2 linked regions of the Danio rerio genome follow. The protein of the gene in region 2 interacts with the protein of the main gene of each other region in a biochemical or structural test. Links are inferred from orthologs where the notes say so. Each region holds a gene or a part of one and is shown on either strand. Other genes may lie near its edges.

Region 1 (6,821 bases), on a different chromosome or scaffold from region 2:
ATCCAGTTTTCCCCACAATGAAAGCTGACAGATGCTAACATTGTCTTAACTGATGCTCAACACACACAAATCTGTTAATATATAAAAAAAAAGTTCTCCAGGGTGTCCTGAACCTTTAGAAGCTTTGAACAGTATTAACTTGAATCTTTTCTTTCATTTGATTTCAGATCTAATTGAAGCGAATGAGGGGAGTGAAGAGGAGAAACAAGTCGAAGCGGTGAAAATCCCTCATTTACAGACTTGTGGTATTTTTTTTATTGAAAGGAGAGAAAAGAAATGCTTCACCTTCACTCATTGTTGGAAGAGTTTTAGGCGACCTAATAATCACATCACAATCCACAACGGAGAGAAAGCATTCACATGCGATCGATGCGGAAAGAGTTTCACACGCAAAGAAAGGCTTAAAGAACACACGAGGATCCACACTGGAGAGAAACCCTTCGCTTGTGCTCAGTGTGGGAAGAGATTCGGATGCTCATCGAACCTTAAACAGCACATGATGACTCACACTGGAGAGAAACCACACAAATGCGATCAATGCGGCAAGACATTTTTGAAGCCGTCAGATCTGATCAGCCACCTCAGAGTTCATACAAACGAGAAGCCTTATTCGTGTTCGGTGTGTGGAAAGAGTTTCACACATCAACAGTATTTAAGAAAACATCAGAAGTTCCACTCTGGGGTGAGAGAGTACGTGTGCTTCGAGTGCGAGAAGACTTTCATTAGGGTTGAAGAATTGAAACGGCACCAGAGGATTCACACTGGAGAGAAGCCTTACAAGTGTTCACACTGCGACACCAGTTTCAGTCAGATACAACACCTCAGAACACACCAGAGGATTCACACCGGAGAGAAACCTCACAAGTGTTCACACTGCGACAAGAGATTCACTCAGTTAGGAGTCCTGAAGACACACGAGAGGATTCACACCGGAGAGAAACCGTACACGTGTGATCAGTGCTTCAGGAGTTTCACATATTCATTACAGCTCAAGAAACACATGAAAATCCACACTGGAGAAATGCGGGAGATGTCGGAAGAGAGTGTTGATGGTTGAGTGTGGAAAGTCTATCCATTTGTCTTCTATTTGATTCTGTTATTATTTAAAAAAGTTTCTGAGGTCATGGGCGTTGTTAGGCCTATTTTAGGGGGGCTGTAGCCTATAATTCTATTCAGCATCTCAAAAACTCTTACGATTAGCTCATAAACTAAACACTAAATTATCGCCTGTCCCCTTTAAATTTGATATGAAAACGGTCGAAGAATCCGGCTCCTCCCCGTCTTTCGTTTTTCATTTGATCAGCAAACCACAGCTGTGCAGAGATATTATAGATACACTTGTATAACACGTACACCAATGTCATGGAGGAGCAATCGGGTTTCCCATCTACAGTTTCATCGGTGCTCACCTCATAATCACAGCTGTTTCCTCGAAAAAGTAGCATTTATTGAACATTCATTCATTCATTTTCTTGTCGGCTTAGTCGCTTTATTAATCCGGGGTCGCCACAGCGGAATGAACCGCCAACTTATCCAGCAAGTTTTTACACAGCGGATGCCCTTCCAGCCACAACCCATCTCTGGGAAACATCCACACACACATTCACACACTATGGACAATTTAGCCTACCCAATTCACCTGTACCGCATATCTTTGGACTGTGGGGGAAACTGGAGCACCCGGAGGAAACCCACGCGAAGGCAGGGAGAACATGCAAACTCCACACAGAAACGCCAACTGAGCCGAGGTTTGATCCTGCGACCTTCTTGCTGTGAGGCAACAGCACTACCTACTGCGCTACTGCCTCGCCTCATATCGAACATTTCGCTATTTAAATTTCAAAATGAACTACCAAAATAAAACACATTAAAGTGCCTGTGGCATTAACTATACCATACAGTCTTGCTCAGAAAGGATTAAACACAGTGACAGAACCACTTAGTGAATGTACTCATTTAAACTGCCAGAGTCACTGTTAGAGATGGAAACATCAAGTGTTGTGGTATTTTAAAAAAGCCTTATTTATTATGAATCAGATCATGAAATGTGTGAATTAGCCTGTAGTTTTAATGTTTATATATGTTTAAATTCACAGTTTAATTAGAAAAGTGGCTGTTTTGATTTTTTTTAAACATGGAAGCAAAAAATGTACTTGATTATAGAAAGTGGTTTTTACTACAGTAAACAGGTGTTTTAAGCCTATTTGGCTCATTCACAACTCAAACGGCTATCTAAACATAATAGTTATAATAACTCATTTCTAATAACTGATTTATTTTATCTTTGCCATGATGACAGTAAATAATGTTTTGCTAGATATTTTTCAAGACACTTCTACAGCTTAAAGTGACTTAAAGGCTTAACTAGGTTAATAAGGTTAACTAGGCAGGCTAGGGTTATTTGGCAAGTTATTGTATTAAGATGGTTTGTTCTGTAGACTATCGAAAAAATATAGCTTAAAGGGGCTAATTATTTTGACCTTAAAATGGTTCATAAAAAATTAAAAAACTGCTTTTATTCTAGCCGAAATAAAACAAATAAGACTTTCTCCAGAAGAAAAAATATTATCAGACATGCTGTGAAAATTTCTTTGCTCTGTTAAACATAATTTGGGAAATATTTAAAAAAGAAAAAAAAATTCAAACAGGGTTTAATAGTACTGATTGCAACGTTATGCATGTATGTATGCATGTATGTATACACACACAATTTAGTTTATCCAATTCAACTATACCCGCATGTCTTTGGACTGTGGGGGAAACCGGAGCACCCAGAGGAAACACACACAAGTTTGAGGAGAACATGCAAACTCCACACAGAATTGCCAATTGACCCAGCAGGGGCTCAAACCAGCGGCTTTCTTGCCGTGAGGCGATCGTGCACCCCACTGCGCCGCTGTGACGCCACAGGTTGATATATGCAAGTGATTCATTTGATTCATCTTTAAAGGATTTATTCATATGATTCCTTTGGTTCCTTTTTATCTAAATTCAATTGTCCTATAAAATGTAAAACTCTACGAAATACACACACAGATTGTAGGTCTACAGTAGATTATCATGAACCCTCCAGCACAGCAGGTGTCAGTACAAACCCGTTTTATTGATGTTAAAGCCCCAAGAAGAAAACGCGTCTGACAGGGAAAAAAAAGTGTTGCGACAGATGATGACCGTTGACCAGTGCGTTGATTTCCAGCACTGTAACTCTCCTGAATTATTTTGTTTGGTAAAATGAGCACCATTGTCCTCATTAAAAGGCTCGACTGACGTACCTGTAGGAAGGCGTTATTGTTGTTTGCAGTAGTTTTCCTCATCAGGTGTGATGGCGGAGCGAGGAGCTCATTTAACCACAGCTGCCCCGGCTGAAGATCGACCCTCAGTGTTTGAGGTTTTAGCGCAGGACTCTTTAATGACCGCTGTCAAACCCGCTTTACTGCATGCTGTCAAGGTATGCTCGCTTTTTCATCATACTGTACTCCTGCATTTGTACTCCTTGAGTTTTGGACTGTGACGATAAATAGCGCATGGATAAAATAAATAGTCCATTTTCCCATATTATGCTCCATCGTTTACTTTGTGGCTTCTTTTTTACGGTAAAACTATCAGAATTTATGTAGGCGCATTATTACACGCCATTACGGGGATGCTGACTGAAACATCAATGACAGCATCGTGAGGAAGTTGCAATCAAATACAGTGTTTAGCAATGAGGCGAAAACAGTAAGATCAATATGAAACTACGTAAAGCGTCATTAGGAGGTAAAGCAAAAAATTGCTATTATTGGGCAGGGTTTCACAGGAATATAAGGATCCCTAGATAGTATGTCAAAGAAAGAAGATCAAAAGGAACTCAATTTAGGGCAGGTGTAAAATGTGCCTGTCTGGTTTCTTCATAAAGACTATGAGTACACTTGTAAAACACTAGTGTAATAAATGTGTCCAAAACATTATTTGGAATGTATTTCCTTTGTATTATTAATAATAATCTATTTAAAATATTACTTGTAGAATGATTCCTTTCTATTAAGGTAAAGTACAGTAAATGTATTATTTATACGTGTATATTAATTACATATATACAGTTCTCAGCATATATGAGTGCACACCTCACAGATCTCTCAGTTAAATTCACATTTTCAATAGGATGCTTTACAATATTTGTGCAAATATATTAGATTAGTCAGTTCTGAAGCCAAATTTGGAGCTAATCTAACAAAAAACTTATTACAGTCCAAAATTGGTACATACAAATGTATGTTTGGGAAAAACCATTAAATAAAGATAAAAAAGAGAAAAAATCAAGAGAAACAAAAAAATCTATAATATTTTGTTAAAATTTTGTAATTTGTTTATATTTTCTGCAATATGTCCCATAAATAATGTATCGTCCTTCCATTTCTAAAGATGTTCGATGACTAAAGCATTATTTCAATAAACATATCGGTTATGTACCAAAATATATGACCGTTATTCTCTTAAAAATGGATTAAAATATTAATTTTGCAAATGGGGTGTACTCATTTATGTTGAGCATGATGTATATATATATGTGTGTATGTATATATATATATATAGTGTACGTGAGTGCTGTAAAGGTATCAAAATGTAAAATTGTGTCGTAAAATCTAAGGTCTGCTGCAATTAACACTATTGGTGTGTCTAGCGTAATAACCCCAGGGGTCCCAATCCAATGGAAAAAGAATTAAAAGGCTAGAGCCTTTTTTTTGCATGTTGTTATTTTATGCAACTCATTCATTTTCTTGTCGGCTTAGTCCCTTTATTAATCCGGTGTCGCCACAGCGGAAGGAACCTCCAACTTATCCAGCAAGTTTTTACGCAGCGGATGCCCTTCCAGCCGCAACCCATCTCTGGGAAACATCCACACACACATTCACACACACACTCATACACTAAGGACAATTTAGTCTACCCAGTTTACCTGTATCGCATGTCTTTGGACTGTGGGGGAAACCGGAGCACCCGGAGGAAACCCGCGGGTTTTGCAGGGAAAACGCAGGGAAAACATGCAAACTCCACACAGAAACGCCAACTGAGCTGAGGCTCGACCCAGCGACCTTCTAGCTGTGAGGCGACAGCACTACCTACTGCACTACTTCTTCGATTTGATGCAACTAATAAATACTGTTTTTATCTTCTGTAGGTTATGGCTAAAATATGGTTATTCTAATAGTTTAATAACATATATGATATTTTTGGAAATCACCAAGCAACCCCTCCTCATTGTCTCATGACCCCCACTTTGGGAACCACTGGTGTATACTGCTAGCTCCAAGTAAAGCCAGCAGGCATAAGTCTCATTTAAAGAGATGGTATCAGATTGGTTTATGGTTTCACAGATGCCAGAATTTTTGCAGTATCAGCAAGTATTCCTGATACTAGTATCGGTATCGGAACAACCCTAAAAATATCCTTAAAAAATGTAACTACCGTATTTACATTCCACAGATTCTCGCTACATCTAACCCTGCCCGCTATGGAGTTCTCTGGAGGAGGTTTGATGAGATTTACGTAATCCTGGATATGTTATTGCAGCATCACTTCCTGTCCCGCACCAGCGCCTCATTTTCAGAGAACTTCTATGGCCTGAAGCGTGTGGGATCACATAGTGCCCGTGCTGCCCATTTGGGACTGCGGCGGAGGCAACACTGGCGCTCTTTACTCCTGCTGGCCCTCATTCCATACCTGCACACCAAACTGGAGAAAATCCTGGCGCGACAGAGAGACGAGGACGATTTCTCCATCCGCTTGCCGCAGTCCTTCCTGCAGAAGATGTACAGGGCGTTTTTGGCTGCGTATCCTTTCGTGTGCATGGCGTGGGACGGCTGGGTCTTCTGCCAACAGCTTTTGTACGTTTTCGGCAAAACACGGACACATTCTCCACTTCTGTGGCTTGCCGGGGTTAAACTGTCATATCTCACGGCTAATGACATACACAGTCTGGATCTCAAGCCTTCAGGCCCAGAATTGAGCTCCGGTCAAAGGTGAGTTTATTTAGTGCTTTAATTTGCAAACTATATTGCTGGGTTCATACAGCCATGGAAAACCTGGAAAAGTCATTTTGACATGGCATTTTCCAGAAAAGTGCTGAAAAATCAGGAAAAAAAACACTAAATTTAGGAAAAGTCATGGAATTCTGAGATGGCATTTCACAGAAAAGTTTTGGAAAATCAGTAAAACCCACAAAGTTTTGGAAAACTCATGTAAATATTTTTAACTAATATCTGTATATTGAATATAGGTTAGTTGTCTTCTTTTTCTGTCCCTGGGCAATCCCATACTCTAATATTCTTAGTGCTGCGTATACATTATCTATATAGAAAAATAAATGTAAACTAAATAGATTTTTGCCAGGGCAAGGTACTGTCTCGCAGCGCTCAACCTGAAAGTGAAAACTCTAGTGACCAGTTCATGAACTAGGGCCCTCACTGTTCTGGCACCCTAGGCAGCCACCTAGGTCACCTCCATGGACGCGCCGGCCCTAATTTTTGCATTTTGTTTGTTATGCTGTTATCAATTCGAACGTGCATTGTTTTTCTTATTATTTACCAAGTATACTTAAGACATTATATAAAACTTTAGGTCAAGACAATTTACTTGAAAGTCCATTAGAAAGAAATGAGACGTATTTATGTGTTCACGTCAAATTAAATTCTCAAGCGATTTTATATACATACAAAGCATATTAAAGTTTGACGTTTCAAATAACCGTTGTTGCAATAAAATGAAAAAATATTGTGGACATATTGTTCAGCTGTCATTCATCATAACATTTACACAAAAATTAAAAGATAAACTTATTT
Region 2 (6,219 bases):
CTCCTATACAGCTTGTAACGGTGGTCACACACACAAAAAAAAAATTAAATAAATAACTTCTCAGGTTAGATTGGAACCCGGGTCTCGCACACACTCACACATGTACACACATTTTTTTTGTGAATTGTTGGGACATTACATAGGTTTCCATTGTTTTTATACTGTACAAACTGTACACTGTACACCCAATCCGACCTTACCCCTAAACCCAACCCTCCCAGGAAACTGTAGTTTTATTTTCTGGAAAATAATAATAATAATAATTCTGTGTGTTTCACAAGCTTTTTGAAAATGTGGACATCAGCAATGTCCTCATATTTCACCACCTTCTTGTAATACCTGTGTCATTATACAGATTTGTGTCCTGATATGTCACAAAAACACGTACACACACACACACACATACACACAAACACTCAAACTTAATGTACTGAATAAAATGAATTCCTCACAATTTAAAACCAACACAATCCAATAGAAAAGGCTTCTTAGTTAAAGTCTCTTTTGTCTAATGTTTTTTATGCAGAAAAATCACTTATTCTTATGGCCTTACCCTACCCTTACACCCAACCTTCGCAGGAAACCTGTGGCAAATTTTAAATATCAAAAGACCCTGTTAGTTGGTTAATTTTTTTAATATTTTGGATTACATTGAGGTGCTTTATGTCTTCATAAACCACCTCAATATTGTAATGCATTATACAAATCGTTATCATTGTCATTATACAAATTTCTGTCTTTTTAAACCACCAAAACGAGTACACACACATTCACTCACTAACATGGCATATTAATTAACAAAATAATTATGAATGTTGAATGTCGGCAGTTGGTTTAGGTTATATTGTTGGTTATATAAGTGGTTTATGTAAATATTGCCATATCTAATTTAAAAAATTAAATGACAGTCATGTAATACAGGGTTTGGTTAAAATAAACAGAAATTTCATGTATGATGCTCACATCACAATTTTATAAAACAGAACATGACTCAAGTTGAAATCCTTGTAGTTTCTTTATGGAGTAGAATATCTGGTGCTTCGAGCACAGCATACATATTTCCAGCACATATTTTCTGTCGCATAATTTCTATTTATCACGATTTCTCACAACTTGTGTGTTTTCCTGGGAGAGTCAGCATGAACTGACTCAAGACCAGTTTCATGAACATTCAAAACCGTGTCAAGATCTGGATTTTTGTTAAACAGTGGTTCAGTTTCGCTTTGTTTTTCACCAAAAACCTCATATAAACCTCATATACAAAAACCTATCATATAACTTCGGGAACATATTGAAACAACATGAGGGGGAGAAATTAATCACAGAATTTTAATTTTTGGGTGAACTAGTCTTCTAAATCAGAGAGTTGTAAAGACTTTAACCACATGTAAGAAGGTTTATTACTATATTTAAGATACTCTGTATTAAATGTTGCATCCCTGGGACTTTGTTAATATAATGCAATATGTTTTGCCGGACTGAAGTGGATCCATGTTGGAATGAATTTGCTGTGCTTTCACCAGTGCCACATCACACAAATGATCCATCACAAGAGTTTACTTAAGCTAAGCTAAAACTGATCTAATGTTATCTCAAGGGAATCCTTTTAGTCTGCACTTTGGGATATATTTATAAAGGTTTGGGTAACACATTAACCTATTTAGATGAGTTTCTTTATCCTCTTGTGGTAGATTCTAAAGTGATGTGAAATTGTACACATTTTTTTGTTGCCATTTCTTTACTTAGTTCACATTTTTCTCTCTTTTCCATTTAACTCTGCTCATGCCTCGTCATGTGTTGTGCCTTTGGCCGTTACTCCTTTATCCTTGTGGTTTACTTATGTCTGACCTTAACTGTCTAGAAGAAACCACTGGTGTGTGTGTGTTTAATGCATCGCCAATGTGTTTGCTGTTAGCAGTAGATGTGTAATAGCTGTTGTTGTTGTTGTCGTTATTGTGTAGTTCCTGCGGTTCATTAGGCAGATTGGCGAGGGCAGTGTGACTGTGGAGGACAGAGCAGGAAAAGAGCACACTGATAAAGCACAGGCCAAAGAGGCAGAGCACTGGGCCTCCAGCCTCAACCAGGTACGAGCCCTTCCCAGATCCTCCCATAGAGGACACACTGTGTGAAGGGTCACACTGCAGACCCCTGGCAGCCATCTTGGCTCTTTTCAAGCTACTTGGGCAACGTTAGGCATGGCTTTATTGCACACCAAAATCCTTGCCAATGTGCAGTGCTGGGTTTTAAATCATTCGCTGTGGGAAGCACAGTTTTTGATAGTTTCATTTGGTTTAGAGTGTGGAGGGTACATACAGTGGGGTTTGAGACCACATTTGAAATTTTTAGGATTCAAAGTCTGTTTAATAATGTATTTTTTTTTTCAATTATATGAATTTCTTTTAAGGATTTCTTTTTAATAAAAAACAATTACCGGTACACTCACCGGCCACTTTATTAGGTACACCTGTCCAACTGCTTGTTAATGCAAATTTCTAATCAGCCACAGACATGGCAGCAAATCTGTTCATTTAGGCATGTAAACAAGGTCAAGACAGTCTGCTGCAGCTCAAACTGAGCATCAGAAAGGGGCACAAAGGTGATTTAAGTGACTTTGAACATCGCATAGTTGTTGATGCCAGGCGGGCTGGACTGAGTATTTCAGAAACTGCTGATCTTCTGGGATTTTCACACCCAACTCTAGGATTTACAAAGAATAGTGCAAAAAAGAGAAAATATCCAGTGAGTGGCAGTTCTGTATACACATGCCTCGTTGATGACAGAGGTCAGAGGAGAATGGCCAGACTGGTTCGAGATGATAGAAAGGCAACAAACAGTAACTCAAATAACCACTCGTTACAACTGAGGTATGCAGAAGAGCATCTCTTAATGCACAACTTTGAGGCAGATGGGCTACAGCAGCAGAAGACTACACCGGGTGCCACACCTGTCAGCTAAGAACAGGAAACAAAGGTTACGATTCACACAGGATCACCAAAATTGGAAAAATGTTACTGGTCTGATGAGTCTCCTTTTTTGCTGCGTCATTTGGATGGTAGGGTGAGAATATGGCATCAACAACATGAAAGCATGGATCCATCCTGACTTGTATTCCCAGTTCAGGGTGGTGGTGTTGATGTGTTGATGTAATGGTGTGGGGGATATTTTCTTGCCACACTTTAGTGCCAATTAAATATGACCACAGTGGACCCATCTTCTGATGGCTACTTCCAGCAGGATAACGCACCATGTCATAAAGCGCAAATCATCTCCGACTGGTTTCTTGAACATGACAATAAGTTCACTGTACTCAAATGCCACCACAGTCACCATATCTCAGTCCAATAGAGCACCTTTGGGATGTGTTGGAATGAGAGATTCGCATCATGAACATGCAGCTAACAAATCTGCAGCAACTGCGTGATGCTGTTATGTCAATATGGACCAAAACTTCTGAGGAATATTTCCAGCCCCTTGCTGAATCTATGTCAAAAAAGATCAAGGCAGATCTGAATGTAAAAGTGGATCCAACCCGGTACTGGTAGGGTGTACCTAATAAATTGCCCGAAGAGTGTATTTTACAAAGACAATAAAGATTTTGCAAAGTTTCAAAAGAGTTATATGTCCTACAAATTCTGTTTTTCAGTTAAATGCTGTTGATTTTTTACAATATGAAGCCTCACCACTGTTTTTCAACACTGATTATATAAAAAAGGTCTTTTAAAGAAATATTTCACCCAAAATCAAATTTTTTTTTTTTCCTGCGCAAAGTTTTTTAAAGGATGTTATAAACATACATAGTAGGAAACACAAATATATCTTATTTTGTTTTTAATCAAGAAAAAAAAAGATTTAAACTGGTTTGGAACAAATCAAAGTTGAGTAAATAATGGCAGAATTTTTTATTTTTGGGTGAACTATCCCTTTAAGTGTTAAACCTCCATATTAGAATGATATTTGCAAGCTTTTGTGACACTGGAGTATTATTTTGCCATCACAGATTAAAATGACAATTTAAAATATTAAAATAGGAAAGAGTTGTTTAAAATTATAATTTATTTTAGCAATTATTATTATTATTATTATTATTATTATATTTGTAAAATGAAGCCTTGGTGATCATATAATATCTTTTTTCAAAACAAAACTTTAAAAAAAATCCCCAGTGGTAGTGTAAGCCTTTTTATGATTATTTTTTATGCATATTTTTATATATAAATATAATCTAAATTAAAAAAAAACTTACACCATTTTTTAAATCTGCCCCCACTGTGATTCAAGCCAAGTCCTACACTTTGCTTGTAATCCTGCCTTATTTGTAAATCTTTTTTTTTATCCCAAAGTTCAAACAAGCACTTTAGTGTAACTCTGATATTTCCTTCTTCCTTTTGTCTTGAACGATCTTTTAATGGCATCCTGACCCCTACATCTAAACCTCTTAACCTCCATCCATACCTAAATCCTCCTGCTCTCTTAACAATCCCACACCAAATGCACACTGTCCATAAATGCCCACCCTCCCCGCATTCTTTGTCCCGCACTGGCCTTCCAGTTTCTGGAATCAGGGGAAGGGACTGTGCAAGTGGAAACGCAAGAGGGCAAAAAGAAGAATGACAAAATGAAAGCTAAGCAGGCAGAGCAATGGGCAACTCTCGTCAGGCAGGTAGGACAACAGTGACCCATTAGTTTTCGTCTGTGCTATTAGGCTTGTCATTTCTGTTATATTAACTAGCCCCCGCTGACCAAACTATTGTGCCTCAAAGAAAGCTTTAATTTAACAGCCCTTTTAACATGATTATCGCTGCAAGACTCCAGGCCTGTAGAGCTGATAGTGCCCTGCTCACATTGCTTTTCATTTGTGCCCAGCTTTGACTTTCTGCAATAGAGAAAAGGTACACTGAGCAATGCTTTGCTATTGTAATGTAGAGAGGAAAGGCGAGACGGATGAATGAGGGTGAGATTTTGCTTTTCTTCCTCTGCTTGGTCTCCCGAGCCCTTTTTCCATTACATCTTTTCGCTCTCATTAATCACAGTGTGTTGTCTTTTTGTTTCCCCCCTCTCTCCTTTCAGCTGAGTAGTGTTTAAGCATTTGCAGGCTCTGTGGTTTGTTATGGAGGCTGTTTAATGGTCTGGCATGTCGCTGTGCTTGGTAGGTTTCGGCAGAATCGGCGGAGTCTTGGGTCGATGAATTCGCCACCTACGGGCCAGACTTCCAGCAGGCCAAAGCAGCGGTCGAGGTGAGCACAGTTTAGGCTGTAAATACTTGAGGAATTGTATTTGATTGCTGTCATTATAGGGAAAACAAGATATTCTGAAACATGTGGGAAACAAGCAGTTATTGGAAATTTTGAAACAAAAATGACTGTGGAAATCAATGGCTGGTTTGTTATACACCTTCTTCAGAAAATCTTCCAGAGAGAGAGAGAGAACAATTGGAGGGTTGATGGCATTACTTTTATTTTTGAGTGAACTGTCGCTTTAAGTGTTATTTTGGGGTATTTGGGCTTTTTTGTGTAGTAATTACACATTTCTGGAGTCTGAATTGTTACTTCTTACAGTTTTATTTAAACTAAACTAAGTACTAGTTGTATATGAGCAGTTTCAGTGTTATGAATGTGAGATCTGCAGTAAAATCTTAGTAGGGCTGAACAATATATTGATTAAGTATTGATATCACAATGTGTTTCTGCAGTAGTCACATTGCACGATTATGTTATTTATTAAAGAGTAAAAGATAGACATTAAACATTATTTTTGGTTATTATTTATACAATCATAGCCATGTTATTTTACACATGATTGTTCATTTTCTGCACTTGAAGGGCTCTATTTTGACGATCCATGCGCAAAGTGCAGGGCACAAACACATTAAGGGCGTGTCAGAATCCACTTTTGCTAATATAAAGACGACAAAATCCGCTTTGCGCCATGGCGCATAGTCTAAAAGGGTTGAGCTTATTTTCTTAATGAGTTATAGGTGTATTTTGAGAATAAACCAATCAGAGTCTCATCTCCCATTCCCTTTAAAAGTCAGTTGCGTCGAGCCATCGCAAAATTGCTATTTACATGACAGACTTTGTAAGTGGAAAAACTGAGCGCTTCACTACCAAGAAAAAAGTTCAACAGAGCATCTACAGCGCGAGAATGAGAGATGAGCCACCTTATTATTTAGGCTTACTTTCACTTTCGCTTTAATCGATAGGGAAACCTTGTATGCACAGA

The links.
Region 1: the proteins of pex5 (region 2) and pex12 form a complex in vitro, tested with the Homo sapiens proteins (2 studies listed by BioGRID). The link is inferred for Danio rerio from reciprocal best matches to the Homo sapiens genes PEX5 and PEX12.

What each region holds. Positions count from the first base shown.
Region 1 is NC_133180.1:67,481,370-67,488,190, reverse strand, and holds the start of pex12 (peroxisome assembly protein 12), read left to right. Parts: upstream 1-3,132; 5' UTR 3,133-3,322; coding exon 3,323-3,448; intron 3,449-5,466; coding exon 5,467-6,002; intron 6,003-6,821. Other genes in the region: uncharacterized protein, read left to right, coding at 168-1,057. UniProt on the Homo sapiens protein: Component of a retrotranslocation channel required for peroxisome organization by mediating export of the PEX5 receptor from peroxisomes to the cytosol, thereby promoting PEX5 recycling.
Region 2 is NC_133191.1:12,429,458-12,435,676, reverse strand, and holds part of pex5 (peroxisomal biogenesis factor 5), read left to right. Parts: intron 1-1,961; coding exon 1,962-2,084; intron 2,085-4,549; coding exon 4,550-4,660; intron 4,661-5,150; coding exon 5,151-5,234; intron 5,235-6,219.